4 linked regions of the Diceros bicornis minor genome follow. The protein of the gene in region 3 interacts with the protein of the main gene of each other region in a pairwise test. Links are inferred from orthologs where the notes say so. Each region holds a gene or a part of one and is shown on either strand. Other genes may lie near its edges.

Region 1 (7,625 bases), on a different chromosome or scaffold from region 3:
CACCTTTTGGGGAGTGGCTCCACTTGACACCTCAGACAGCCTTCCTGTACTCACTGCCCATGAGTTCATCATTTCATGACAGCAAAAAGTGGTGTCATTTACAAACTTAAGAATTTCAACATTTATTCCTTTATCTGCATATAAATTGTAAAACTAGCACTAGCCCAAATCGAAAATTTATTCTAGTGGGTCCTGTTACTCAAACTCTTCTACCCAGTGAAACATTTGTTGCTAAGCATTTAGCTTATCATTTATAGAACATCCCATGTCTTCCCTACCACATGCTAGCTATCTTTTTGACAGGTTTTATCGCCAAGCCCTGATAAATGCTTTTTGGAAGTCTAAGTAAATTACATTCATTGGCACTCCTCATATACACATGAATATAACCCTTCAAGAATAATGGTAACTACTATTTATTCTCTACCATGCACCAAATACTGTGCTAGGTTGTTTCTGCTATGTTATTTAATCCTTAAAAACTTTGAAATGTTGATATTATTATTATCATTTTACATATAAGAAAACTGAGGTTGAGAGCTTAGAGAATGTTTCCAAAGTTACACTACATATATAGGTGGTGGAGGCCAGAATTCACATTCAGGTTTTTTCAAAGCCTCAGCATATTGGACAGTCTTTACCTCTATACATAAAGATAGAATTTTACTTCCTTGCAGATTACATTGACTTCAGTGTTTGTTATAAATTAGGTCCATCTGCTCTGTATGAAAGTCAGATTTCCTATTCTATCGTTTCCATCCCTCACTCTGAGTCCTTAAGAGTGAGGATCATATGGGAAATGAACCTATCCTCAAGGATAATGACTAGTATTATTTAAATAAATTTAGAAATATTCTGCCTGCTTCAACAATAAGAATAAAACTAAGGCCTGAAAACCTTTCTAATGTCTTCCACAGGACTAAGAGTGTATTCAAACCTCTGGGTTTATTGTGGTTGTTATTACTGCTGTTGTTTTGCTTATTTTTGTTTATTTTCATTCTTGTAGTTGGATCATCTGATTCTCTGACTCTGAAGACACAATTCCAGCATTTTGAGAACTTTTATAAATGAAAGGTTCTGAAGCACCTGCCAAGTGTTTTTCAAAGGCTTTTTTTAATTCACTTAATTTGGGGTTCATGCCCTTAAAAAGAGAATATATACCTGAGTTATATGAAAATATATTCTTGAGCAAATTTTTTTTTTTTTGGTGGGGAAGATTGCCCCTGAGCTAACACCTGTGCCAATCTCCCTCTATTTTGTATGTGGGACGCTGCCACAGCATGGCTTGATGAGCAGTGTGTAGGTCCACGTCCGGGATCCAAACTGGCGAACCCTGGGTCGCCGAAGTGGGGTACGCGAACTTAACCACTACGCAACTGGGTCGGCCTCTGAGAAATTTTTATAATCTTAAAGTTTGTAACTTGAAAAATTAATACTAAAACTACTGCATACCTGAGAAAGAAGAGGAAAGGAGAGAGGAGATATTATTTGAGAGAAAGGCATGGAGAAACCAGATAAGAACTATATCATACTTTTGGAAAATGGGACTGAAGGAGAGAAACTGCACAGCCAGCACTAGCTGTCTCACTGTGGGGATCCTTGGATGAGAGTTAGATAAAGAAGAATAAACCAGAGACACTGTTGAAGATCTTCTGTTTGCAAATACCTCCCTCATTTATTCTACCAATTGGATATTAATTTTGCTTAATAAAACCCTTTTATAAAATGTAAATATATCCTTGGAAAGTTCAACCTATTGGTTCTTCATACCTTTACTGTGAGTTACTATCATTAGATTATCTAAAACTTAAGTAAACTTTTGGAGAATGTGAGTTTTAATTGGGTGTTTTGATGGAAGCGTGGAACACTTCCGAATAAAAACCATAGAGATCTGTGGACAGTCTAAGGGCAGAATGACTGAGAAAGGTGGAATGATGAGACACAAAGGAATGGCAGGGCTGGGGAAAGGAAGTGAAAAACTACCTACTTCACAATTTTGCCACAGAAAAATAAGAGGTTATGATTCAATGACCTCAGAGTTTCCTTTCCGCTCTATAATTCTATGAGGGCTATTATGCAAAGAAGGAATGTTTTACATGCCAAATCATAATATGCTACATTTTCCTTCCTGGAATCTACACCATCCAACTATTAAAGCAAAAGAGCTCCCTTTTCCACCTCAACAACACAAAAAAGAATAATTTATCAAAACTAGTCCCAGAGGACAACCAAGAGAAAATCAAAAGAAATCATAGGGAGGTTAAGTATCTTTTTAATGAAGAAATTAAAGACACACCCTCCAACACTTTGATAATCAGTATTTGATAAGTGACTGAATGAAATCAGGGGTCCAAAAGAGATACAGATCAGAATGGTTCAGAATCTCACCCCAGGAACACACTAAATAAGAACCTCATCAGCCAGAGACAGAAAAAGTGAAGAAGGGAGAGAATATTTCCCCACCAGCCCCAGGCATTCTCTGCCCCCTGCATAATAGTTGGGTTCTTTGCTCTCTTCCATTTGCCACATTATTTTCCTTTCCACCTCTGCATCATCCACCAGTCACGCCTGTCTCCACAGTCACCCATGCAGACCCTGTCCACAAAGTTTCCTTTTCTGCCTGTTGGTCTCACTTGAATCTCTCTGCCCAGGGTTTACCCACACCTGCTCGACTCCGGCTCCTTCCACTGACCTTCTAGGACCTCACGGAGGGCAGCGGATCGCGCTGGCACCCCATTCTCCAGCAGAGGAAGGAGGTCTGTGGGAACACAGCTCAGAGAGGTCTGTGCCTTCACACCCCCATACCCAGAGCTCCCCCTCTTTCCCCGGGGTCATCCTCACTCACAGCGCACAGTGTGGAAGGCGCAGCGCGGATACTTCTCGAAACTCTCGCCTAACTTGAGAACCCGCTCGCGACTGTCAATGCGCGGGCGTCCCCCTGTTCCATTCATCATTATGCTCGGGCTCCGACTTGGCCTCCACTCGCGCCGCTCGCTACCATCTGCCACCTCAGCCTGAACCAGCTGCACTTGTTGCGGCCCGCCCAGCCACCACGGACTCCGCCCCCCGCCCGACGCGCGCGGCCCCACCGGGCGCTTCTCGCGTGCGATTGGTTGCCTGGCTAGTGGCGCCCCGCCCCTTGGCTCCGAGGATCGTGGTCCCGCCTCCAGGCCCATTCCCGCGTTGCGACGCACGCCGTCCCGGGAAGCCGCGCAAGGGAGGTGGGTGGTGGGAGCGGGGTGCTTTGGTGGAGGAACGCCGAGCGAGCATGAGGTGACCGTCCGAAGTTGGCGGCTGGGGAAGGAGAGGGCCCCGGGATAGCGGCAGGCCGGCACCCCAAGGTTTCTGGGCCAACTGACCCGGCACGTAGGGGCTCTTAACGGGAGAATCGGCGTGCTCCACGCCCTTTCTGTGGAGATCTGGTGTGGAAACTGAGGCCCGGGGAGGGGCGGAGTCTGGGCACAAGGCCTGGCGTCTTGCCCAAGGCCTGGTAGCGCCAGAGCTGGGTCTAGAATGCCGAGTAAAAGACCCCGCGGCCTCGGAGCCTCGGTCCTTGGACCTGACTGGAGGCGACGCCGTTACCTCAGCAATCGTTTTCTGACCTTCTGTCCCAGCGGAAGTTCCCGGTGGTGTCAGGACCGGGACAGGGGACCGGGAGGGAGAGGAAAAAATGATTCGGAGTTAGGAACTGCAGATGTTTAGGATCAGTTGCAAGTCGATTGCATCGGGTTGCTTCTTTTATTTATTTCCTTCACAGTGATCCGCGGCGGCGGTAACGGCGGTGATCCGTGGAGGCCGGGAAGACGAGGTTCCCAGAGGATCGAGCTCGTGCTCTGGCAACAGGGTAATAGCTTTAATAGTTGAAAACTAATTGTCTTTTTTCTCTGTCAAAAGTTCGTGAGTTCAATGGTAAAGAGGAGAGAAGTGCTGTATTAGAGGAGAAGCGCCCATGAGAAAGTTTACAAATCGTTGCCATATCAGGTGGCGGTCTTTCAGGGTAGTTATGTGATCAGACTCTACTCCTTCACTGACCTTCTGCCTTAGCCAGATTTGTCGGTTTATCGTTCCAGGCGGGTAGATGGATGTGTCTCCCGCAACCTCTCTGCTTGTCTTAATTCTGCTCTTTTAAGGGGTACTCTGTTTCATGTGGTAGTTAAGCGCTCAGCTTCTGGAGCCAGAATTTTTGGACTTGAACCTCAGCTTCATACTGTATAGTGTGACTTGTGCAAACCAAAGTTAAGTATGCTCGTCATTAAAACTGGGGGAAAAATAATAGTACTTATACCTGAGAGTTGGTGAGAGGGTTAAATGAGTTAATACATGAAAGCGTTTAAAACAGTTCATGGCATATAGTAAAAGCTTTCCAAATGGTTATTATTGAGGCTTAACTCTGCTCTCATGCAACATTTTAGGACCATCCGTGGTGGCTGCCTTCTCTTCTAAATCTTGAATTATTCTAGGAGGTAGGAATTGCTATTTTGTTTACTTTACAGCTAAGAAAACTCGTTCAGGGATGCCCAGTCCACCAACTCTGTGGTTTGTATTCTTATTGTCTGTGTCATCTATTTGGCACGTAACGCTTTTTATATAATTATTTTACATATATGTATATATGTGTGTGTGTATACTTTTCTTTCCCAACCAGAACATGAGCAGGGCATCTGTCCTATATAAAATCTTTGTGACGCTTGCATCTAACATAGTGCCCTACACACATGTGGTGATAATGACAATATTTCAGTGATGTTTCATTATGTTAGCCAGAGAGCAAGAACAGTGTTTCAAGTCGATTTTACCTTAAAAAGGCTTCCAATCAGAAATCTGAGGTTTCCATTTTGTGACAAGGAGAAAAGCAGAGGGTCAGGAAATTGAGTTTTGGAATGCTCAAAGTTTGTGCAATTATTCATTCTTCCAACATGTATTTATTAAGTACCTACCACAGGCCAGGCACTAGTCTAGCCTCTGGGAATGTAGTAGTGAACCAGAGAGATAAGAAGACAACCAAGGATGGTATGAATTCTGCCCTTGTGAAGCTTACTTTCTAGTATGAATTTTCTCTAAACATATATTAAAATGAATTCTGTTGTACTAGCCCAGAAATAAACAAATAGATTAATGAACTAAATAGATTCTAAAAATATGCCCAAGTGACATTTCAGATTGCTTCTATTATATCTCTTCATGAGAAATTACCTTAGGAATTTCTGACAGCTATGTGCATTTGTTCTTTTTTCACCAATCTGTAACCTCATCTAACTTGAAAAAATTTAGATTTCTTACACCATTCACAAAAATAACTTACATGTGTATTGAAGATATAAATAAAGATATAAGTAAATGAAGGTAAGTAAAACAAAACTATAAAAACACTAGAAAAAATTAGGAGAATATATATTAGCACTTAGGGTAGGGAGAACCTTTCTAAGCATGACACCAAAGGCAGAAGCCATAGAGGTAAAGATTGTTATACTTGACTATAAAAAATTTGTAAAACTATGGTAAAGCCACTATAATCAAACTTAAAAAATTATATGACAGACAAGGAGAAAGTGTTTATAGCCAATATAAAGGATAAAGAGTTCATATCCCTGTATGAATAGATTAAAGCTTCTGTGAAAGAATAAGACAAGCTGATAGAAAAATTGTTAAGAGATATGAATAGAAAATATATGAAAGAAGAAATGGCCAGGGAACATGAAATGTGCCTAACCTACTAATAATCAAAGAAATACAAATTAAAACAAGATGATACCATTTTTCATCTAGTGGATTAGCAAAAATGTAGAAGAACATATTATGTATTAGTAAACTTATAGTAAAATGAGCACCCTCATACATTGTTGGTGGAAGTATAAATTAGAACACCCATTTTAGAGAAAAATTTGGTATCATCTAATCAAAATTTTAAAGATATATCCTGTGACCAAGCCATCCAACTTCAAGGGAAATTCACTCTACCAGTACTAGCATGAGTGCCTAAACACATGTACATTGATATTCATTGCAGCATTGCTTGTGATAGTGTACACTGTGAATGACTTCCAGTAGACAGGATGTTTAAATACATTTTGATACACTCTTAACAAAGGAAGCATAGCAGAATGCAGCCATTCGAAAGAATGAGATAACTCTCTATGTAGTCTCTTGGAAAGTTATATGCCTACTATGTGCCAAGAGTTGTGCTGGGCTTTCTTTAAAATATTTCCAGAAAACTTGTTTTTTAATGATTTATATTTTACCTAATAAGGGATGATTTTTGGATGCATGTATTAGGCCAACTCGTCAATATAAAGGATGGGCTGTGGTGCCAGTTATGAAGAATAATAGATAAAAAAGTGAGTTAGAAGTAGGTCACTTGGGAATATGTTTTGTGTTTTTTACTGTTTTACATGGGAGGGAATATAATGAACATTGTAATGAAAACCACAGACTTTGAAGTCAGACTGATCTGAATTTGATTACTGACTCTACCACATGCAGTTGGAACCAGAACAAGTTTGTCAACTTCTTCGAGCTTTATTTTTCTTACCTGTAAAATGGAGATGATTATAGGCTCTACCTCATAGTCCTGTTAGGATTAAATAAGATAATGCATGTAGAAGCACTTAGCACAGTGCTTAGTTCATAGTAAACACTTAATGTATGTTAGCTTTTATTAATTATAGGTAAAGATTATGCTTTTTTTAAATGATGACATTTTGAGCTTTGAATGCCTTAAATTAAAACTTTTTATAAAGAAAAGTTTTAGAAACAAACTGAATCAGGATGTGGATTTTTTTTTATTTTAATATAATTGATTTTATTCACTATGCTGTTTATAAGCAAGCTTTGGTTATCTTATAATTACATAACATTTCTGAGTTTCGTGTTGGAAATCCCCAAGACCAACCCCAGTTTCAGTGATTTGCTAGAAGGGCTCACAGTTCTCAGGATATGTAGTCATTCACAGCTGTGATTTATTACAGTGAAAGAATACATAGCAAAATCAGCAAGGGAAAAGGCACATGGGGCAAAAGCCAGAGGAAAAGAGATGCAGACTTCCAAGAGTCCTCTCCCAGTGGGATCACATAAGACACGCTTAATTCCTCCTGCAATGAATTGTGACAACATGTTGAAGTGTTGTCTACCAGGGAAGCACACTAGGGGTTCAGTGACCAGAGTCTTTATTGGAGGATGGTCATGTAGGCATCCTCTGCTGTTATGTACCATTCCAAATTTCGGGAAGGAAAGCAGGTGTTCATCATAAACCACATTGTTTTTACAAACAGTTTAAGCACAGTGAACCACTCTTATTAGGGAATGGTGGAAACCCTCCTGAAATCCAAGTTCCTAGACACCAGCCAAGGGCAATCTTGTAAGGAGCTGTTTGAAAGGATAGCAGTCTCAGGCCTGTGTTAGCTCTTTTCTGCACAGTTTCTCTCTTATGATAAAAGAAAATTCCTGTTCTAGGATTGTTGTGCCGACTAGAGAGAGTGCATGTGAAGCACCAAACACAGTTCCTGACTCTTAATGAGTGAATAATAAATAACACTGTAACTGTTACTGTAAGGTATAAGGGTCTCTAGCTCTTTTAGAGGTACACTAGTTAGAAAAACAAGAGTTTTCTGTAAGGAAGAAATGAAAAA
Region 2 (7,870 bases), on a different chromosome or scaffold from region 3:
GTAACAGAGATGAAGAATGCTTTTTTTTTTTTTTTTGGTGAGGAGATCAGCCCTGAGCTAACATCCACCAATCCTCCTCTTTTTTTTTGCTGAGGAAGACGGCCCTGGGCTAACATCCGTGCCCATCTTCCTCCACTTTATATGGGACGCCGCCACAGCATGGCTTACCAAGCAGTGCGTCGGTGCGCGCCCGGGATCCGAACCAGCGAACCCCGGGCCGCCGCAGCGGAGCGCGCGCACTTAACCGCTTGCGCCACCGGGCCGGCCCCCAAGAATGCTTTTGACAGGCTCATCAACAGGAATGCCTACTGTCTGAGATGGGATCAGTGAACTTGACGGTAGGACAACAGAAATTATACAAACTGAACATGCAAGGAGAAAAAAAAGTTAAAAAACAGAAACCAAAACCCAGCATCCAAGAGCTGTGGGACAATAGCAAATGGTATAACATACACATAATTGGAATCCCAGAAGGAGAAAGGAGAACAAGAGCTGAAGAAATATTTGAAGAAATAATGACGAAAACTTTTCCAGATTAATTAAAAAAAATAACCAAATTATAAAAAAAAAAAAATAGGTGACTATTGAACTTCTAAACAAGACATAAAGCCTCAGCATCTCAAAAGGAATAGATAGACAAATGTGACATAATCAAATCCTGTCATACAACAATACCATAAAACAACGCTGAATAAACTGGAAGAAACATTTGCAACAAATATAACAGAATATGCAGAATATATCCTAAAAATTAGAAAAAAAATGACAGAAAAATGGACAACAGTTATGAACAGACAATTCCTACTATAATATAAGTTCCACATGAGTGGGAGTTTTTGTCTGTTTTATTCACTACTTAACCCCAGGGCTCAGAACAGTGACTGGCACATATTAGGCTCTTGATAAATATACGTGGAATAAAGGAACTCACAAGCGGAAGAAAAACCAATGCTTATTTACATATTACAGTCTTCAACATCACTGGTTATAAGGAATAAACAAATTAAAATATGGAGACATTATTTTTTGTCCATAGGTTTGAGAGATATAAAAAAGACTGGTATCAAAACGTTGAGGGCATAGAAAAAGAGGTATCTTTACATAATTGATGAAATTACAAATTGGTATAACTTTCTGGAAGGAAACTTGACTATCTATTAAAATTTAAATGTGTATGCTCTTTCTCCAAAGAATTCTACTTCTTCTATTATTCGCCATACAGAAGTGTATACATATGTTTTGGGGAGCATGTGTATGATGCTAATTACACTAACCCTAATTGTAAGAGCAAAAAATTAGCAATGATTTACACAAGTATCAACAGGGTAATTGTTAAAGTATGGTATATCCATTATATGGTGCACCACAGCAGGTAAATAAAATGTGGTAGACCTACATGTGCTAAGATGGAAAAACTCTGTGAGATATAATACAGAGTGAAGAAAGTTATAGTACAATGTGACACTACTACTAAAAAAAAAAGTCTAATGGATGTTAAAACTGCAAAAAGTTGATAGAAAACTAAATATTTGCACGTTGCCAAAGTGTCCCCCACATATTTGCTAATGGCAAAAGGGAAATATTTGTACAAGGAAGGAATTAGGTAGTTATTACCTTAACCCAGTGATCAAAATTAGCACCACTTACAGTAAGATCACCAGACATTATTGCCTCCTGACAGAATGTAATATGGAAGACACAACATCATTTATTAAAGTATTTTTGCCAAAAATATTTCAACTGATTTAAATCTAACTTCTACTTTTCAGGAAGTACAGAGGATAGAGGAACAAGTTAAACAATGATACAAAGAAACAATCAGACCAAATTGGAATGTGGGACCTCATTATAGAAGATGGCTTGCTCTCCAAAAACTCAAAGTCAGTGGGGGAAAGATCAAGGGGTAGGGAAGGAATGTTTTAGGCTGAGGAGATTTAAGGTACACAATGAAGTGTAAGATGTAGTCCTTGATTAAATACAGCTATAAAAGACACCTGGGACTACTTTGGGAAATCTGAATCTGGACTGGATATTAATGACATCAGGGGATTAGAGTTACTTTGGTTAGATATGATAAGTGTATTGTGGTGATGTAGAAAAAGTTCTTATTTTTTTGAAGATGTATGCAGACATATTTAGGAGTGAAGCATCTTGACATCTGTAATTTAAAATAGTTCAGCAAAGAAACAAGTCTGTAGAACAAATGTGGCAAAATGCTGGCAATCATTAAATCTGGGTATAAGTGTATGGGTGTTGTTATGGTATTTCTTTCCACTTTCCTGAATAAAGCTGTATTTCTATATGTACTATACGTATGTAAACAGGAAAACTATATTCATGGTGATCATAGCTGGTTAGCTTCAGGGAGAGGACTGGAACTGGGCAAATGGGTAAAGAGGGCAGGTCAAACAAATCCAAGAAAATAGAAACATAACAGAAAACATGGATGGTGCACCCACCTTAACATATTCAACTGCTCTTGGAGAAAAATCACAGGCATAGGCAAAGATATTCGGATCTTCTTCCAAAAGTGGGAATAAACAGTTCCCAACCCCACAGCCAGCTTCAAGCATAGTCAATTTTTGATCTTCAAACTGAGGAAAGAGAATCCAAAGTTTCAGTATACTACATTTGCCTAAGGAAGAAACAAACCAAACTAAAAGGTTAAGAACATGAGAGACAAGGTCTCTGCCCTCAGGGAGCGGAGAACAAACAACTGAACTAACAACCAAAAGTTAATACTGATACTTCATCTATTGTCCAACATTCAGCAGTGTGGTATGGAGAAAACAGCATAACAGCTAACAGCACTGGCTCTGGGGCAAAACTGCCTTCACTCAAATCCCAACTCCTCCCCACGCACCACCCCTAACGCTGGACAAATCACTTAAACAGCTTTGCGCCTCAATTTCCTCTCAAGTGGGGATAATACCAATGCCTACTTCAGTGCTATTATAAGGCTTAAATTACAGAACACATGTAAAGTTCTAGAAAAGGGCCATGGTAAAGTGTTCCTCATCATCTTATTGTTATGAATCTGAATCTGTCACTGAAGTCACTCAGTATGAATTACTATTTACAGCTTGCAGATTAGATTTTGAGAAGTTTTGTTTTTTGCTGGGAAAGATTCGCCCTGAACTAACATCTGTTGCCAATCTTCCTCTTTTTTTTTGTTTTCCCCTCCCCAAAGCCCCAGTACATAGTTGTATATTCTAGTTGTAAATCCTTCTAGTTCTATTCTAGTAATCCATCTGTCAGCATGGCTACTGACAGATGGGTGGTGTTAGGTCTGCGCTCCAGAGAACGGAACCTGGGGCGCCAAAGAGTGCATCGAACTTGAACCACTATGCTGTCAGGGCTGGCTCAGATTAGATTTTAAAGAAATGGAAAATGCCCACTAAAGTTCTGTCTCCGATGTATTAACAACCCAGGAACCGCTAACAATACTTGAGACCACACAGTATATTTCTCTCTAAGGTACAAAGCATTTCGACAGGCTTCATAAATTCTCTACTTTACACTCCCCATAGGAAAGCAATAAAGCACCTCTCTAACACACATTTTAAATGAAGAACAGCAAATAAGACGTAATATTGGCTTACCTCTCTACATGATCTGAGCTCCTCAAACTCTCTGGTGGTCCAGTGTCTATCTTTGAAGAAATTAGTACTATTTCTTTTGTAAAAAAGGTCCCAGTTCTTCTGAGCCTCTTTTTCCAGTTTTTGTTGTTTAAAATCAGACACTAAAGCTTGGTCTCTTTTCAGTTTCTCCTCTTCTTCAGAACTGAGGATCCTTGCCTGCAGCCCTTTCTTTTGCGAAGAAGCCATCTCATACGTTGACAGTAATACAGTCAACGCTGCTGAAGATTCTCCATCCCTGAACAACCGGAGGAGTCCAAGTTGATACTGCAGACACAAGCAGGGTTTTCTCGAATTCGGTTCCCCAGGTTGCGTTCACGCCTCAGGCAGCATCACGTCCTTCCAGGAAAAAGAACGAGATTCTGGTTAGTGGTTCTAGACCAGTTCTTTCACCAAACAGTTCAACTCGCCCAACACTCACTACATGCTGACTCTACACCAAACTCTGCCCGCTATACAAGGAGAGGTCACAAAGAGGGCCCAGACACGGTCCCTGCTTTCAGAGGGTTTACATGCAGCGGCCAGAACAATCAGGGACCAAACTCTAATTCAAGCCAGCTTGAGTCAACTATTAGAAGAAATCGGTTTCGTTTAGAAAAAGGACACTCCCAAGAGTTGACTGAGAAATCTTGGGGAGAAAAGACTCATCAATTTTCGTGAAAGGGGTGGCTTAACAACCACAACAGCTGCCTGAACCGGAGGCGGGTGGTCGCCTGCCAAACACAAGTGGGTCATCGTTTCCCAAGGCTGGGAGACTCCTTTTTTCCTGGGAAGATGGAGCGGAGCCCCGGGGGTCGGAGCCCCTGATCGCACCCACAGGGGGCTCGCGCGAACCAGACGGGGCGTCGCTTTCCAGGGACTGAGCCCTCGCAGCGCCGGCACGGCGCGAAGGGGAGAAAGAGACCCAGCGACGCGGGCGTAGAGTCCCAAGAATCCACCGTCTTAGGACACTGGGGATAGACTGGGCCGCCCGGGCCGCCGGGGCCTGCGGAGAGCCGGCCGTCCCGGCTCTCGGCCCCGCGCTGGTCTGCTCCGCCGCGCTCCGGGCTCACCGTCATCAGTTCCCAGCTTCACCCAGAGGGCAGGGCCGGGCGCACTCAGCCTCAGCCCGCCCCGGCCTCGGACGCCGAGCCGGGGGGGCCGCCGCGGGAAACCCCCGACCCGGGACAGCCAGCCTTGAGACCCTCGACCTGAGAGTCTCGGGCTGGATTCTGTTGTCATGGCACCGCCCCCGCCACTTCCGCTACGAACCCAGAAGTCCCTCCCCGGCGCCGGAAGTACCGCCGCCTCGCTTCCTCAGAGTCTTCTCCCACCCCGACGCGGAGGGACCGGCTGGCTTCCGGCCCCGGGTGGGCGCCGGCTCGGCTCCCCTTACGCTCCGGAGCGGTGTCCCGGGAGCACCGTCCTGCCGGACGCCGGCGCCGGAAGCTCGGGCCGCGGCCGCGCCTGGGGAGCGCCGGTGCGGGCGCGAGGCGGGTGCGGGGCCATGAACGGGACCGCGAACCCGCTGCTGGACCGCGAGGAGCACTGCCTGCTGCTCGGGGAGAGCTTCGAGAAGCGGCCGCGGGCCTCCTTCCACACCATCCGCTGTAAGTCTGCGCGCCCCGCCGTTCCCTGCCCCCGCTCCGGCCGCCTCTGCCAGCCTCGCTCCCTCCTCTCTGCCCTCGGCCCGTCGGAGCCCAGGGACCCCTGCCCGCGTCGGCTCCCTGCTCCCGACCCCGGCTCCTCCGGGACCTCGGTTTTCTCCCTTTTTTTCTAGCTTTCTCCTCCCAAACCAAACCCTTCGTCTCTCCCAACACCTCTTCTGCCTCGTGGTCCCAAACGCTTTTTCCGAGGGTCATTGGCCCCTTTCTCTTCATCCCCCCACCCAGGCCTTCCTTGTGCCCAACCTTCCCCCTCTTTATTACCGGAAGCCTGTGACCCCGCATCAGACTCAAGTTCTTCTCTCTCTGATCCTCTCCGCGTTCGGATTACCCACCAGGGTTCTCCACATGTAAAGGACTCCTGTTTGCTCGTGAGCCTCATCCACTTCCTCCTATTCCATTCTCTCCTTGCCATTTGCCTCAGCTTTCCTTCCTCGTGCGTCTTAGTTCTGGCCACCCTGACCCTGCGCTGCATCCCCTCTGCAGCCAGAGTCGGCATCCTCTCTGCGCCCAGCAGTCCTCCTCCGTCTGCGTTCCCTGCCTCTTTTGAGGTCGCCTGTACTACCCTGACTTTTCCTCTGGACCAAGTCTCTTGTGTGAAGAATAAAATTAGAATTTGTGAGCCTAGAGTAAGTTAAAGCTTGCTCTATGTTTGGAGGCAGAAGAGAGCACGCGTAAGGAATGTCAAGCTAGTCATTACGCTGAACCTTCTTTTTCTACATGATTAGAGACTGTTGAGGGAGGGCACTTCCACTCTGTCCTGGGTAAAGACTTGGCTGTTAGGAATTGGCTGACTGAGCATCCGTCTGTGATTCACAAGCTCTTGCTTCCCCGTCTTGGTAGCTGTAATGCTGGGTGAGACTTGTTTTAGTCAAAGGAGCTAATAGATGTGACTCAACACCTTGGAAGAGGGCGTGTTAGATAATGAAGTTCCATCTTTGTATGGTCACTTGCCACGCCATTACTTTGCTTCTTACTGACAGCAGATCAGCTCTTTAAGAGGGAGGATGTTGGGAATGTGATAAGAGCATCATCTCCTGAGCAGTTTACTAAGTTGATGTTTTAGTAGGGTAAAGGGCAATGTGGAATTTAAATGAGACTTCACATATGCACCTGGCCTTCAGTTTGAGGCAGGTGTGTGTTAAAATGGAGTAAGATGGCTATTCATGTTGTACTTTAACTGCAATTCAGCAACATGGGCAGGATTTAACCCTTGGAGATACAGTTCAACTGTCTGCTCCAGACATCTGCAGGACGTAGCATTTGTTAAAGCTATGGAACTTGACTGTGGCAAATCCTAACTTTGACACTTCTGTGCAAAATGAAGTCACTTATATGATGCTGTGGCCTTTCATATTTCATATAGGGTTTTACTATTACAGAATCCTTTTGATATGCTCAGTTTCTTTTGATCCTCACAACAACCCTAATAAAACACCTTATTATGGATAATAAGGCATCAATTTTCATCTATCACTTGGGAGAGGAGAATGTCTTTGCTTAATAAAATGGTATATAAATTTTAGCTTTTTTTTTCCTTCAAAAGAATCCAGTGAGGATGGAGGAAAAGTATGTGGAGGTATAGATGAAATAAGATTGTCCCTGAGTTGGTAATTATTGAAGCTGGGTGATGGTACACAGGGGCTCATTGTACTCTTCTCTCTGCTTTTGCATATGTGAAGTTCTGCACAATGCAATAGTTTGTAATAAATTCTAAATTATTAGTACTTTCCATTTACCTGAGTAATAAAAAAATTTTAACTCTTAAAGTGAGTATGCCCAGGAAGCCCTTAGTATAAGTAACCTGGTAAATAAATGCTTTTATTCCTTTCTCTTCAGATGACTTTAAACCAGCATCTATAGACACTTCCTGTGAAGGAGAGCTTCAGGTTGGCAAAGGAGATGAAGTGACAATTACGCTGCCACATATCCCTGTAAGTTTATTCCTTCGTTGTTGTTGTTTTGTGAGGAAGATCAGCCCTGAGCTAACACCTGATGCCAATCCTCCTCTTTTTTTCTGAGGAAGACTGACCCTGAGCTAACATCCGTGCCCCTCTTCCTCCACTTTATATGGGACGCCGCCACGGCATGGCTTGACAAGCGGTGCCTCGGTGCGCGCCCAGGATCTGAACCGGCGAACCCCGGACCGCCGCAGCGGAGTGCCCGCACTTAACCACTTGCGCCACCGCGCCGGCCCCTGTTGTTGTTGTTTTTAATGTGGCATCACAGTGAATCCTCGTGTTCTGTTATCGCAATTTGAATTTCCACTATTTAAAAATTTCTAGATTTCAAAGTGCCAACATAAGGAAAAAAAGAATTTTGGGGATAGGGTGAGATGGAATTTATGGTTCCCAGGTGCTTGAGTGAAAAATGATTCTTTGCCATTTTCCGCAAGCTCCCTTTTGCCCCATTTGCTACAAAGTAGCCAAGGTTCCTATCAGGACACCTAGCCCCTCCTTTAGATGTGCGTAGCTTTTCCCCCAAGCAGCTCCTAGAGCCCTAGGTGCCATGTTGACGTATAGCAACAACAGTTTAGAAATCTGGGGCAGCCAAGCCAGAGTGAAGGCAGGCAGGCGGGAGCAGGATTGA
Region 3 (7,753 bases):
GAGGGCAGGACACAGCATCCCCCACCCTTCTCTCTTCTTCCCCAGACCTGTGAGATGCTATGACCTCTGCCTTTTTTTTTTTTTTTTTAATTTTTATTTTTTTCCCCCAAAGCCCCAGTAGATAGTTGTATGTCATAGATGCACATCCTTCTAGTTGCTGTACGTGGGACGTGGCCTCAGCATGGCCGGAGAAGCGGTGCGTCGGTGCGCGCCCGGGATCCGAACCCGGGCCGCCAGCAGCGGAGTGCACGCACTTAACGGCTAAGCCATGGGGCCGGCCCAAGATTTGTTATAAGTAGTCTTGTTTTTTTTTTTTTTGCTGAGAAAGACTGGCCCTGGGCTAACATCCGTGCCCATCTTCCTCCACTTTATATGGGATGCCACCACAGCATGGCTTGCCAAGCAGTGCGTCGGTGCACGCCCGGGATCCGAACCGGCGCACCCCAGGCCACTGCAGCAGAGTGCGCACACTTAACCGCTTGCGCCACCAAGCCGGCCCCTGACTTCTGCCTTTTATCTATCACAACCCTATCTACAAACCATGACACCACCACAGAATTAAAAACAGAGAATGTATGGATTAACAAATGAGTGTCCAAGGTATGCCAAAGGTCTGAAGAATAAGGAAATTAAAATATGCTCTAAAGATTTAATACACCAATCATTATTGAAGAGGAAAAAATAACATGGAATTGGAACTTCTGTGAAAGATCTGCAGTGTGTAGCCATCTCCAATCTCTCTCCCTTGGCAGTCCACACTAAATCAAATCCTTCTTGTTTATTGGAAAATTAGGTTTAGAGTGCTAAACAATGACCATGTTATGAGAACTTGGGAATGCTAACACTGGGAAATAAAATAAGATCCTGCTTCCTGGCCAGCAGAACACCAGATCCATCCTGCAAACTAGGGAGTAGGGGTTGGCTCTTACCTTGGAAGGCCTCTTCACATTCATCCAACCTTCGCTTCTTGTAAGTGGGCTAAGGATACAGAAAGACAGGAATTAGCCTGCTCTCAACATCCACGTCCCCATCACAAGTTACCTTTTAGCAAGTTTAATCCCTTCCTCAACCCCACAGGTTGTCTTATTAATTGACGCACAATTTACTAAGCACATACAAGGCTTTAAGAAAAGGTCCTTGCCACAAAGCAACTTACACTCTAGTAGGAAGACCAAGCTTTCAAGAAATATAACACAGTAAGCATATAGCGGAGGGGGTGGATACTATAAACAATAGGAAAAATGAACCATTCAATGCAGGGTGCGGATAATTAAGGGAATATGTACAAATCTGCTGGTTCCACAAAGAAACACAATATTCAGTTAACAAATGTATTGAGCATCTGCTATGTACCAGCAACAATGTTAGGTGCTGGGGATACTAAGATGATTAAGACAGTTTCTGCTTTCCACAATTACAAGTTCTATCAATGAGACAGTAATGCAGACAAAAGACAATACAGTGTCATCAGTGTTATAAGAAAATGTGGATATATAACTGATAAGGATTAGGTGCTGAAGATACACAGCAAAGACAGAGACTGCAGTTATATAGCAAGAACTACTCACCCCATAACAAGACTCCAGACATTGAAACAGGTAAGAAAAGTCTTACTTAGAGCCAGGGGGACAGACCAGATAACCTGAGGGAACCTGCAGCTATTAGTCCTATTTGAAACCCACTCTAACACGGAGTAGTATTAGCATATTCACCTCATGCTAGAAATGAAAGTCAGGGTGTAAAGGGGGTGTACTGTAGTCATCATGTCTCTAAAAGTCCTCGTTCTCAGATTCAAATCCCACTGTCCCCTCTGCACATGCTCAAACTGACCAGGAAATAGAGGACAGAGAACCTATTGCTTCAGGACACAAAGATAAATATAGGACGCTTACACCGTCCAGTCCATCGTGACTATTGGTGAGAAGAATGGGGTCAGGAACTGGGAGATTCATGTCTGAGTGGATCTGAGTTAGGTCATGGATGTTTAGGATTGGTTCCTGAAAGAGAGACACCCACCCCCAAAACAAACATTAGTCTTTTCAAGATGAACAAAGAAGTATTTCATTTGAAGGGCAAGAAATGAGAATGCTTTACAGTACAAAACAAAACAGAACCAACACATCATTTGTCCCATTTGACAGAAAGACCAGGGCCAAAAAAATTAGGGAATTTGAGGAAAAGAAAAGGGTCTCTCACCTTCAAAAAACTATCAAGTTCTAACAACTTCTTTGGGAAAAAGTTTGCCACCAAGTCTTCTGCCTAAAGATGAGGGGAAATACAGTTAAATTAATAATTGTGGGAAGGTCCCTCTCTGATATCTCTTCTTTTGGAAAGTCCCAACTATTAACCAACACTCATTTTTCTATTTATTTCACTCACCTCACTTGTGATCCGCTCCCTGAAAGAATCAACCTAAAATTAACAAAGAGAGCAATTCAATAAAAGCAAGTCAATACCTGGCAACAGAAGTAAGGGCTGGAGTGGGAAACCCAAATCCGGCTGTCTTTCCCTCACCTTGTAACTATAATTAGAAGCTGAAAGGCCCCCAGACTGCAAATACTTTATTTTTTTGAGGATCCATTTCTCCATCTCAGGAGAGGGAAGCAGGGCTTTGAAGGCAGCACCCACCTGTCTTCCCTCCCTCTCTCCCTGTGTCTGAATTTGAGAGCAGACAAAAGACAGGTAGCTAAGGGAGGTGTGACCTCACAAACGTGCCAACCCCCACCCAAACCTGGCCTACGATATCAGGCAGGCCTGACGCCAAGGGCAGGGGCAGCGTCTGGCGGCGGCGATGTTGCTAGGCTCGGGGACTTCCAGCTGTCACTAGTCTAGAGCACTGAGTCCACCACGTGTTCGCAGAGGTCTCCCCGGGGCTCTCCACCACCAAACGGGATACAGAAGACCACCCTATTTTATCCTCTCCACCGATGGCGTCTCCGGGAGTGGGGGGCTGGGCTGAGCAGAGCGGAAGCTCAGAGCTGGTGTCCCCAGGGAGATAAAGACTTCCCAGGGAGTGGGGAGGCGGTCAGACTGCTCGGCATCGAAGCGAGGGGTAAGGAGGCCCGGACCGGTGCCGCTACCTTGAGCTTCACTTCCTGATCCACCTTCAGCAACGAGGCCATGGCCGGGCCGGGCCGTGTCCGTTCCGCTGGAGACCGGAGGCGCTGTGGGCTCCGGGGACACGGTCAGAGGGACGGCAGGAATCTCGGCTGCTCTCGGGACGCGGCCGCCCTCGTTGGCTTCCTCACTGCTGACTCCGTTCCTCCGTGCCGCCCGCCCGCTGCCTGCTGGCTCTCTCGCTCGCCCTCCCGGCTTTCGCCGCTCACGCCGGAAGTTACGTCACAGCCAATCGCCGGGACTCCGGCGAGGATGCGCACGTGCCGTGCGCAGCCGCGCTGAGTTTCGGCTCCGGACGCTGTGGGCCCGGCTTATGTCTCCCTGGCTCTAGTTCCCAGGAGGAGTGAGGTAAGAGGGAGGGCGGCGGAGGGTGCTTTACTGAGAACTGAGCCTCACAGACTCGAGCGCTCGCCTTCACCGAGGGAACCTTTTGAGCCGCGGCCGCCTTGACAGTACCGACGACGCCGTCGCGCACCGGTGACGTCGGCCCGAGGAAGACGGCGGTCGCGGCGCTGGGTTCAGGGGGTCTAGTCTGCGATTCCTGCAGCCGCTTCCTGTTGGCCGAAACTCTAGTGTTAGGATAAAGCCAAACAGAAGACAAGTTGTATTGTACCAGACTTCCCCACCTTTTTCCGCCACTTATTCTCATACACTTCCAGACCTCAGAGATCAACTGCCTGATGGGCAGATTGACGCCCAGAGTTGGGTAGTGCTTGTCTAAGGCTACACAGTGTTTCCAGTAAATCCTGGACCAGAGCCCCAATCTCCTGACTTCGAGGACAATGCTGTATCCCTTTCCTAATGGAATGCAGAGACTATCTCTTCACTCACCCATTCATTGGGTCTGTCTCTTAACGTTGATTATTTCGCTTAATAAAATGGGCCAGGACCGTCCCGGAGTCTAGAAATATAATGTGAGTCACTTACGTAAGTTAAAATCATCTAGTAGCCACATTAAAAAATAAAACAGGTGAAATTTATTTTGATCATGTTTATAACCCAGTTTATCCAAATACTATCATTTCAACGTGTAATCAATATAAAAAATATTAATGAGATCTTGTGCGTTCTTTTCTCATATCATATCAAGTCTTTGAAATCTGGTATGAATTTTACACTTACTGCACATCTCAATTCAGAGGCATCACATTTGCAGTACTCTAGAGCCACATGTGGCTAGTGGCTCCTGTATTGAACAGCACAGCTCTGGGAAATCAAAGATGAAAAAGACTCAAATTGTCTGGTCTCATGGGTCTTAATACTGGAGAAAGGCACCAGAAAGTAAACCTTCAACATAATTGCAAAATTTGATAAATGTTAGGAAACAAATGACTGATGTAGAGAGTACTAGGAATCTATTTTAGATAGAATGGCCAAGGAAGTCCTCTCAATGAAGTTAAGCTGAAATCTAAAGGATATAAAAGAGCTAGCTTGGGAAGAGTGAGGGGAAGAGCCTTGGGAAGATGCAGCACAGGCAGATGCCCTGGGGAAGGAAACATGTCCTGTTGAAGAAGTTGAAAAACTGGTTAGTGAGCTAGGGCTGGGGGTGGGAGTGGGAATGGGGTGGGGAGGGTTGTTAGGAAATAACTTTGATTAAGTGCAAAGGCAGGTCATCTGATTTACATTTTGGGGTCACTCTTGTGGCTGAACACTTGTCCTGGGCAGGCCTCTGTGCTAAGAGCAAGGGATATGGTGGGAATACACAGTTAAATGAAGTGCGACTGACTATGGCCTTTGGAATCAGAGAGACCTGGCTTCAGATCCCACCTCAGCTTCTTATTGTGATATCTTGGAAAAATACTGAAATACTGAGTCTCAATTCCCTCATCTGTAAAATAGAATTTTAATCATTGTTAGTAAATAATATGTAATTCTGTAGCGTTGTTGTGACTACTGGAAATCATATATATGTAAAAGAACTAGCACAGTGCCTGGACACAAGGAAGGCACTAGATAAATAGTAGCCATTGTCGGATAAGCTACCTGTTAGTGCTTAGCATGAGGAGGTTACTCCTTAAACTACGTAATTATCATCATCCCTGCTTTCAAACTCAAAGCACTTTTCCACTTATTCAAGGCTGCATACAACATAGCCTATACTACCCATCTTGCTCATTAACGTGTAACGGTTTTCCCCCTTTTACCTCTGCTTTCTGTTAACATTGTCCCTAGTAACTTTTGAACTCTGATCTGGAACTTAACTTCAGGAATGCTTTCCCAAATTAACTTCATCCTATTTTAAGTATGCCATTATCCTTCATTTCTTTCAGAATTAGTAACTTCAACTTGAAAACTTAATGTGTTTGCGCTTGTTGAAATATGGCTTTGTTCTTAAATAATCATGTTTTGTCTCCCTCAAGTAAGTTGTAAGAAGACAGATACACATTCCTTCTTTATTTCTCTTCCTCCTCCCCATCCAAACATTTTATATAATACTCCACTCATTTGTTTATTTATTTATTCAGTGAACAATTGCTGAGGGCACCACTATATTTAATAAACTTTATTCATTCCAGGGTGCTTATGAATCAAAATGTGATCACTGATGACTAGTCTCATTTATTTATTTGTTTATTTTTTTGGTGAGGAAGATCAGCCTTGAGCTAGCATCCATTGCCAATCCTCCTGTTTTTGCTGAGGAAATTAGCCCTGAGCTAACATCTGTGCCAATATTCCTCTATTTTGTATATGGGATGAGGCCACAGCACGGCTTGATGAGCAGTGCGTAGGTCCGTGCCTGGGATCCAAACCTGTGCACCCTGGGCCACCCAAGTGGAGTGCACAAACTTAACTACTATGCCACCAGGCTGGCCCCATGGTCTCACTTTAAATGCATGTCCACAAATCTCAGATGGGTGCACAACGCTGCCTGGGAGCCTACTACATGTTCCTGACAAGTTTACTCTCCCAGATTCAAAATGACTATCATATGTTCTCATCTTCCTAAACCTCCAGTATCCCTCCCCTCTCACCTCTAGTTTATGGTCTTGGCTCATTCTTCATTGAGAAAACAGAAGTAAATGAGAACTTCATCTCGCCACCAAATCTGCTAGCTTGCAATTACTTTCTGCCTTTCGTCCTCTTTCATTGAAGGAAACATCTCTGTTCCCATCAAAACTCAACTCTTCCTTTTGTGCATTGGATCCCATCCCCTTTCACCTTCTAAAAGTCTGTGCTCCAGTGATTATCTATTCTCTTTACTATATTACATTTATCCCTGTCTACTGGATCATTTCCAAACATGACAGATATTTTCCATCTTGAGGAAAACCCACCCTTGAACCCAGGTTCCTCTCTAGCTATCGCTCCATGTTTGTGCTCTTCTTCATGGCAAGACTTCTTGAATGATATTGTCTCTTACTCTGTTCCTCATCTCCTGTTTACTTCAATCCACTCCAATCAGGCTTTCCCACCCCCTGTTCTCACTGAGGTAATTCTCGTTAGGTTACCAATGACTTCCATGTTGACAGCACCAGCGGTCAACTCTCTTCATCTTACTTGAACCTCTCAGTGGCACTCAACACGTTAACCATCCCTGTTCTTAAAACATACACAGCAACCTGTTCTTCCAATTTTCCTCTAACTTCAGTGGTGACTTCTCTGTTTCCTTTGCCGGCTCTTCCTCCATTGCTCCACTTCTTAATGATGGCATGCTCCAGGGCTCAGTCTTATGTCCTTTATTCTTCTCCACTTACACTTTCTTCCTAAGAGTTATCACCTGTGTTCATAGCTTTTAATACCGTCTGTATGCTGATGGCCTTAAATTGATATCTCCAGTCCTGACATCTTCACTGAGCTCTGTCTATTTGATATCTCTACTTACACAGTTAATAGGCCTCTCAAACATAACGTGGCCAAATCAGAATTCTTGATTCTGCTACACAGCTGTTATTTTCCTGCTCTGCCCCATCTCAGTTACCAATGCAACTGTCCACCGACTTGTTCAAACCAAACACATCAACCTTGATTCCTCTCTTTCCCTTATCTCCCCACGTTCAATCCATCAGCGGGTCCTGTCAGCTTTACCTGTATAATGAATCCCATATAAGTATGCTTTTCTCCATCTCCTCTCTTGGTATCCTAGTCAAAGCCACTGTCATCCTTCGCTAGGACTATTACAATAGACTCCTCTCTGGTCTCTCCCTTTTCACTCTTGCCACCCCCTACCTCCCCCCCACAGTCTAGTCTCTACTCAGCACCCAAGATTTAATTATCTTTTAATATGTCAACCACAAGAATGGCAGTATCTACTAAAGCCGAATAAATAGGGCCGGCCCTGTGGCTTAGTGGTTAAGTGCCCGCGCTCCGCTACTGGCGGCCTGGGTTCGGATCCCGGGCGCGCACTGACGCACCGCTTCTCCGGCCATGCTGAGGCCACGTCCTATATACAGCAACTAGAAGGATGTGCAGCTATGACATACAACTATCTACTGGGGCTTTGGGGGAAAAAAGTAAAATAAATAAAATAAAAAAAAAAGCTGAATAAATTATATGTGTATATATATATATATGTATGTATATATATCTGTGACCCAGAAATCCTGACTCTAGGAACAAATTTTTTTTTTTTTAATTTTATTTATTTATTTTTCCCCCTGCTTCTCACCCTCAATGGTTTCCCAGCTAACAGAGGCCC
Region 4 (7,106 bases), on a different chromosome or scaffold from region 3:
GAGAGACTTGAGGGAAGGGTCCAGGCCCTGGGTTCAATCAGAGTCACTGCTGGAGGAGGAGGAGGAGGAATGCTGCAAGGGGAAACGGGAAAGGAGACAGCATCAGATCCAAGTGACCTTTGATCACTCCATGGGACATTCTTTGATGCCCCACCCCTCCACCCAAGTGTTTGCTATCTAAGAAAGTCAGGAATCTTGACCCAGACCGTCCCTTAAAGAGCAAAAGCAAGGATCTCCTTCAGCAGTGAGCATACAGGGATGGATTAAACCATCGCACAGAATTTAACATACTGCATTTGGAGCAAGTTTCCAATGTTCTTTACCTGAGCCAGTGCCTAGGCAAGGAATAAATTATATGCACAAGCATAGTAGAGTGCTAGGAAACTGCCACTACCTTATAAATGCTTATTGATTAGCTGCATGAAAAGTTCCTGGTGGCTATGAATCTAAGAAAAGTGAGTAGAATCAGCACCTGTGTCGTCTGCATCTATCTCTTACTTTTTCCTAAGCCCCAACTGGAAGAAATGAGGAAGGTGGGAGAGAAGGCTGGGAGAATCCTAGTCAAGGTTCTTTACATGCATACTCCCAGCCACAACTGTCATTAAAAACATTTTTGAGTCTCTCCAGGGTAATTTCTCCCCCATTCAATTGGTCCTTCTCCTCAGACTTCTACCAAAGATCCAGAACCAGGAACTAGCACCCAAAGCCATAAAGCAAATAAATACTAGGCAGTAAAATGTAAATTAAGGCCTCCTCAAGATCCAGGTTGGTTCAATCCTTCCAGAGTTATCCTGGGAGCTCCTTTTACCCTTGCTAATTAACACTCCTCTAGAATGAAGATACTGAGCCTTAGGGCTGGGAATGAAACTCAGGCTTTGTCTGAGGCTGAGTCACTGACTGCTTTTGTCCTCAGTTTCCCTGCTGGGTAGTAAGACAAAAAGACCCCCATAATGAAAACAATACCCTGAGAGCACTGGAGAGAAAGGAACTCTATGGAACTCGAGCCAGATTATTATCTGTTAATTATTATATAAGACTTTGCTTTGTCAAAGGACTGACCCTATTAATTGACATTTTGACCACCTCAGTGGGAGTGCCCAACTTGCTAAAACATGCATCTGGGGATGTGGGGGCAAAAGTTCTGGGAGAGAGAAAGGCAGATAAGAAAGGCTTTTGATTCTGAAATTTGTTCTAAGGCTCAGCCTCGTCCCTCCAAAATAGAGGGCCCAATTAGCCTAACATTTCTTTTCAAGATTATCAGATTCTTCCCAGTGGGAATCCTTTACAAAGAGGAAGCACCATCTACCAGAGCAACATAATCCCTATCCTGTGTCCTCAGACTGCGAATCCCCCTCGGCCACCCCCTGTCTGCCTAGTCCCTCTGAGGGGGCACTCCTTCCCCACCGGGCTCCAGAGGGCACTCACCTTGCCATGCCTGTGGTGTTTGTGCGCCTTTTTATGAGCTTTCTTCATTTTCTTCCGCATCTTCTTGTCCATCACCATTCCGGGAGCCAAGGGATTGAAAGGAGGCATGCCAGGGCCAGGTGGTGGGAATGGAGGGGGGTAGGGACCTGAGGGTTGGCATCCTGGATACCCTGGTTGTGGCCCAGGAGGAGGGGGCCCAGGTGGGGGGAAAGCTGGATTCCCGGGGGGAGGTCCGGAGGGAGGGGGGCCTGGAGGAAAGGCAGGATTGACATGTGGTGGAGGGGGAGGATGGGGACCTCCAGGGCCTCTGATGTTAGGGGGATGTGGATTTGGCCCTAGTGGAGGAAGCAAAGAATAAAATAAGGTTAGAACTGCCCAGAGCCTCTGACAACAAACAATAACAACAACAAAAACAGGATTACGCTTCTCACTCAACGCGTCCTGAAAGGGAAATAGAAAGGCGAGGAAGGAGAACGGAGGGTAGGGGAGACAAACCTGCCTAGGAGAGAGAAAAGGTAAGGTCCCTGGCAGGGCTGGTGAGACAGGGAGACAGTGAGCTCTAAGCAAAGACGAGAGCACTGGGGCAGCTATGGTCGAAGGACTTTGCTTTTGCGGGTGAGGCTGGAGAGGGGGAGGAAAAACCGACACAAACTTCCTGTTGTGTGGCCCATCTGAAAAGGGGTTAGGGTGGGAGAAGAGACCCCCAAACACTTACCGGCATTGGGATTCCACATGTTCAGGTGTTTCTTGCAGCCTGATGAGAAAGAAATGAAGGCCAAAAGCTGACGGCCCAGAGGTGGGAAGAGGATTTAGAGACCGAGCCCCACCCCAAGGCCTCCGCCCCTACAGCAGGGTCCCAGAGAACTACCACGACACCCACAGAAGAAATGTTTCTTCTCACTCGCTCCCTCGCCCTCAATACCTACTTTATTGCTAGTTCCCTAACCACAGGAAGCCAGCTCCCAGGGCCCCTCCACCTTCCAGCACCTCTGGCCGCAGCTGGAGGTCTCTAACTCCTCCGGAGAGGGGCCGAGTCCGCGAATCTCGCTACCCCCGCTCTCATCTCCCTTGCCGTGACTGAGTCCAGAAGACTTCAACCACCCACAGGCTAAGGAGGATCTTAAACAACTCTACCGCCCCCGGGGAGGGAGACAGGGGGTAGGACCCCCACCCCACGCTAAGAGAAGGACCCACCCCCAAGCGAAAGCAGGAAGGTGGCTCAGGAAAGATCCTCAAACGCCTACATATGTAGACACACCCCTTCCCCGTTAAAAAGGGCAAATGGAGATCCTGGCTCCCAGCTGCGAAGGGACCCCTGACCCAGAAATGGGGAAACGGGGGAATCCAGAAGCCCCGTCACCTTTACACCTCCTGGGCTCGACTCGTCCTTCTCGGTGTCTGCTCTTGCTTCCTGGTCACCCCTATCCAAGGCTTCGGCACCCGCCTCTGCTACCGCCTAGTTGGGAATTACGTGGTCATTCGGCGTGATGATTGGATAACACACTCATCAATAACTCTAGTCCCCACTAGGCTAGAAGGCAACGGTTGCAGTAGGGGCGGGGCGGAGCACTTTAGGGAGAGGCTGGTGCGGAGGAGCAGGTGGGCCGGAATTCCTCGGGGGCGGGGCTCGGAGAGACGGGCAGGGGAGGGCGGAACCAGTTTGTGGGCAAAGTTCCTGAGCTGCTGTGGAGAAACTCAGCCCCTGCCCTCTCGTCTCCTAGCCCAGTGCGTGCAAACCTTGGTATGTGAATACACCGTGATCAGTATTATAATACAGATGTATACAGAGCGCTTAGGGAAGGGCGGGGAGCTGCTAAGTCGCAGCACCAAGCCTCAATATTGCAGCCTCCCTCCTAGTCCCCGGAGGAAGTAAAGAAACATTCTTGACGCAAATACTACAGAGAAGATTTCCTAATCTCTCCTAGGATTGCCTATCTTAATTGCATAGCTCAGCGCTCTGTCCGAATTGCATAAACCAAAAACCAAGAAACCAAGGAAGTCGTCCTGGATGGCTCTCTCCTTCATCTTTCCCCCCTTCCTCTCCAACACCACGAAGTGCCTGTTTTGTCCGCAAATAAATCTGGAATCCCTCCGCTCCTCTCCATCTTCCCAGCTCCCAACCCACTGTCATCTCTCGTCCGGGTTGCTACAATGGCCTCTTTTTTTAAATAACACAATTAACAAGCTTGGTTCAATGAATATATATAGAACCATGGACCCAAAACTTAAAAAATACTCATTCTTCTTAGAACATTTATAAAAATTGGTCTCAACTAATATAATTCAAAATTCAAAGAATTGTGTAATACATACCGTATTCTCTGACGACAATGTAAAATATAAATACAAACATACATCTGGAAATTTAAAAAACCAACAAAAAGTCTTCCAAATAACTATGGGTCAAAGAATAAACCACGATGGAAATTAAATACTTTGGACTAAGCCATAATGAAAAACTTACATCCCAAATTTGTGGGATACAATAAATATGAAGATAAATTTTATACTGAGTTAGTCATCTTAAACTAAAGACTTTGATAGATTTTTTAAATACTTTTTATTATGAAATAATTTTAGACTCACAAGAAGTTGCAAAAATGATAGAATTCCCATGTACCCTTTACCTAGCTTCCCCCAATGATAATGTCTTACACAACCATAGTGTGTTTTGATATATTTTTATATCAGGTTTATGCTGAATATTTGAGATGAATTGGAATATTTTCTGTTTTTTTAAGATCTCGGGCAATTTATATCCACATTATTTCTTTCTTGAAAGATTATTGAGTTTGAAAGAAATTATTGATGTGTCCATATGGGCATGATGTCTTTTAGAAGTTAGATATTTTAAACTTCTTTTTTTTTTTTTTTTGGTGTGGGAGATTGGCCATGAGCTAACGTCCGTTGCTAATCTTCCTCTTTTTGCTTCGGGAGATTGGCCCTGAGCTAACATCTGTGCCCATCTTCCTCTATTCTGCATATGCGACAGCACTACAGCATGGCTTGATGAGCGGTGCATAGGCCTGCCCCTGGGATCCGAACCTGCAAACCGGAAGCCACTGAAGCGCAGCCCGTGAACTCAACCACTACACACACCCGCCCCCGGCGGCCCTGAACTATTTCTTTTTTTAAAGCAGCTTTATTGAGATGTAGTTCATATGCCATACAATTCAGCCATTTAAAGTGTACAATTCAGGGGCCAGCCTGGTGGCGTAGTGGTTAAGTTGGCGCACTCTGCTTTGGAGGTGAGGAGTTCCCTGGTTCAGATCTCGGTGTGGACATACGCACCACTCATCAAGCCACGCTGTGGCAGCCTCCCATAAACTAAAGAGAGGAAGATGGGCACAGATGTTAGCTCAGGGTCAATCTTCTTCACCAAAATAAATAAATAAAGTGTACAATTCAGTGGTTTTTAGCATATTCAAAGCGTAGTGCAACCATCACCATTATCTAATTTTAGAACATTTTTGTTCCCCCTAAAAAAATCTCACGCCCATTGGCAGTCAATCCTCATTCCTCTCCCTACCTCTCCCCCACCCCACCCAAGCCCTAAGCAACCACTAATCAACATTCTGTCTAAACATTTGCCTATTCTAGACATTTTGTATAAATCAAAAATTGTACAATATGTGGCCTTTTGTGACTGGCTTCTTTCACTTAGCATAATATTTTCAAGGTTCATTCATGTTGTAGTATGAGTCAGTACTTCATTCCTCTTTATGAAGCGCTGAATAATATGCTACTGTGTGGATATACCACATTTTGTTTATCTATTCATCAGTTGATGGACATTTGAAATGTTTTTACTTTTTGCCTATTATGAATATTGCTGCTATGAACATTCATGTACAAGTTTTTTTGTGACTATGTTTTCAATTCTATTGGGTATGTACCTATGAGAGGAACTGCTGGGTCATATGGTAACTCTGTGTATAACTTTTTAAGGAACTGCCAGACTATTTTCCAAAATAGCTACACCATTTTACATTCCCACCAGCAATGTACAAGAGTTCCAGTTTCTCCACATCTGTGCCAACACTTGTTACTGTCTGTCTTTGTTGATATAGCCATCTCAGTGGATGTGAAATGGTGTCTCATTGTACTTGACAATGATCTCTTAACAGTTCTGTCAGCATCCACTCTGGCCTTCTTCCAATTCATTCTTCACATTGCAACCTGGGAAATTTTTTTCTAAAGCCAAATCTGCTTACTTGCTTACTTCACCTTACTGCTTCAAATTCTTCAATGGCTTTGCATTATCCTTAAGACAAAGATCAAAACTATTTTTACATGTATATATTAATTTTTGTTGAGTAGGTAATATGTTCACATGATTTTAAAACCAAAAAGGGTAAAGAGGTGGAAAATGAAATTTCCCTCTCACTCTTATTCTTCATCTATCCAGCCTCCCCCAACCCACATAACCCCTGTATTTAGTTTGTTACATATACTTCCACAGTATTTCTTCCTTACAATCAAGAAAATACTGACATAAATTTACATCCCCTCTTTTAAATATAAAAACAGCAAATTATGCAGAGTTTAATTTGCAATGTTTTCCCCCACTTAATATATCTTGGAGCTATTTCCGTATCAGTACATAGAGTGTGCCATCAGTCTTTTTCACAACTGCATTTTATTCTTTTTAATAATGTACATACCAGAATCAATTTAACCAGTCAATCGATATTCGTGTTATTTTTAATCTGCTATTAAAAACAGTGTTGCAATAAGTAACCATATATATATGTCATTTTACATATTTTTACTTTTTATAGATATTGATGAATTACCTTCCGTAGAGGTTATATTTATTTACATTCTCACCAGCAATATATGAGCGTCTGTTTCCCCTAACTCGTCCAACAAAGAAATACTCAAAATCTTTTTACATACTGGAGTGTCTGTGGTAGTCTGGCCCTGCTCCATCTTTGGTCTCCTCTCACACTGCTCACCCCTGGCTTTCTGCCCTCCAGCCCCCAGGCTTCTTTCCTCCCTCCAGATCTTGGTTACTTTTGCAGGAGGGCCTTTGCACTTACTGTCCCTTCAGCCTGGAATGTTCTCCCCATCTCTCTCTACTTTGCCTAATTAATTCCTGCTCATTTATCAGCTCTCAGCTTCAGGATCACTTCTTCAGGGAAGCCTCCTTGACACCCTAGTCAGGTGAGGTTCCTTTGTTGTAGTCTCTGGCACAATCTTGCCTTTCCTTTAGCACACCTATCTCAGTTTATAATTATACAAGAATCAGTAATTACTTGACTAATGTCAGCTTCCTACATTAGACTATAAGCTTCTTGAAAGCAAGGACTGTGTTCATTAACACTTAACTGTTCACACAGTGCCTAATACACAGGAGAGTATCAGTGAATAAATTGTTGAATGAATAACTACATGAATGAATGAATGAATAAACGAATAGACAAAGAAGAACAGAGCATGGTGGTTCTGGAGTCAGTCAGACTGGATTCAAATCCTGGCTTTGCCACTTATTGTGTGATCTTGAATAAGTTATTTAACCTCTTGGACCATCAGTTTCCTCATCTATACAACAGTGGTGCTGGTACCTACCTCATAGGGTGGTTGTGATGAGATAATCATGTATTTGTAACATAATAAGCACTTATTATATGGCAGTATGTATTACTATCATCGTTCTCATTAATATTAAGAACTATACT

The links.
Region 1: the proteins of PSME3 (region 3) and EAF2 interact in binary tests that used the Homo sapiens proteins (3 or more experiments, as listed by UniProt). The two-hybrid records come from large-scale screens. The link is inferred for Diceros bicornis minor from reciprocal best matches to the Homo sapiens genes PSME3 and EAF2.
Region 2: the proteins of PSME3 (region 3) and EAF1 interact in binary tests that used the Homo sapiens proteins (3 or more experiments, as listed by UniProt). The two-hybrid records come from large-scale screens. The link is inferred for Diceros bicornis minor from reciprocal best matches to the Homo sapiens genes PSME3 and EAF1.
Region 4: the proteins of PSME3 (region 3) and PRR13 interact in binary tests that used the Homo sapiens proteins (3 or more experiments, as listed by UniProt). The two-hybrid records come from large-scale screens. The link is inferred for Diceros bicornis minor from reciprocal best matches to the Homo sapiens genes PSME3 and PRR13.

Annotation. Positions count from the first base shown.
Region 1 is NC_080754.1:22,795,666-22,803,290, reverse strand, and holds the start of EAF2 (ELL-associated factor 2), read right to left. Parts: upstream 3,013-7,625; 5' UTR 2,955-3,012; coding exon 2,846-2,954; intron 1-2,845. UniProt on the Homo sapiens protein: Acts as a transcriptional transactivator of TCEA1 elongation activity. Acts as a transcriptional transactivator of ELL and ELL2 elongation activities. Potent inducer of apoptosis in prostatic and non-prostatic cell lines.
Region 2 is NC_080741.1:21,906,025-21,913,894, forward strand, and holds the start of EAF1 (ELL-associated factor 1), read left to right. Parts: upstream 1-4,852; 5' UTR 4,853-4,857; coding exon 4,858-5,227; intron 5,228-7,120; coding exon 7,121-7,215; intron 7,216-7,870. Other genes in the region: tRNA N(3)-methylcytidine methyltransferase METTL6, read right to left, coding at 2,460-2,594, 3,603-3,827. UniProt on the Homo sapiens protein: Acts as a transcriptional transactivator of ELL and ELL2 elongation activities.
Region 3 is NC_080757.1:41,840,009-41,847,761, reverse strand, and holds the start of PSME3 (proteasome activator complex subunit 3), read right to left. Parts: upstream 3,016-7,753; 5' UTR 2,590-3,015; coding exon 2,515-2,589; intron 2,413-2,514; coding exon 2,380-2,412; intron 2,260-2,379; coding exon 2,197-2,259; intron 1,998-2,196; coding exon 1,893-1,997; intron 979-1,892; coding exon 930-978; intron 1-929. UniProt on the Homo sapiens protein: Subunit of the 11S REG-gamma (also called PA28-gamma) proteasome regulator, a doughnut-shaped homoheptamer which associates with the proteasome. 11S REG-gamma activates the trypsin-like catalytic subunit of the proteasome but inhibits the chymotrypsin-like and postglutamyl-preferring (PGPH) subunits.
Region 4 is NC_080756.1:16,847,876-16,854,981, forward strand, and holds the start of PRR13 (proline-rich protein 13), read right to left. Parts: upstream 3,006-7,106; 5' UTR 2,786-3,005; intron 2,780-2,785; exon of another isoform or gene 2,670-2,779; intron 2,628-2,669; exon of another isoform or gene 2,352-2,627; intron 2,180-2,351; 5' UTR 2,160-2,179; coding exon 2,141-2,159; intron 1,761-2,140; coding exon 1,426-1,760; intron 73-1,425; coding exon 34-72; 3' UTR 1-33. UniProt on the Homo sapiens protein: Negatively regulates TSP1 expression at the level of transcription. This down-regulation was shown to reduce taxane-induced apoptosis.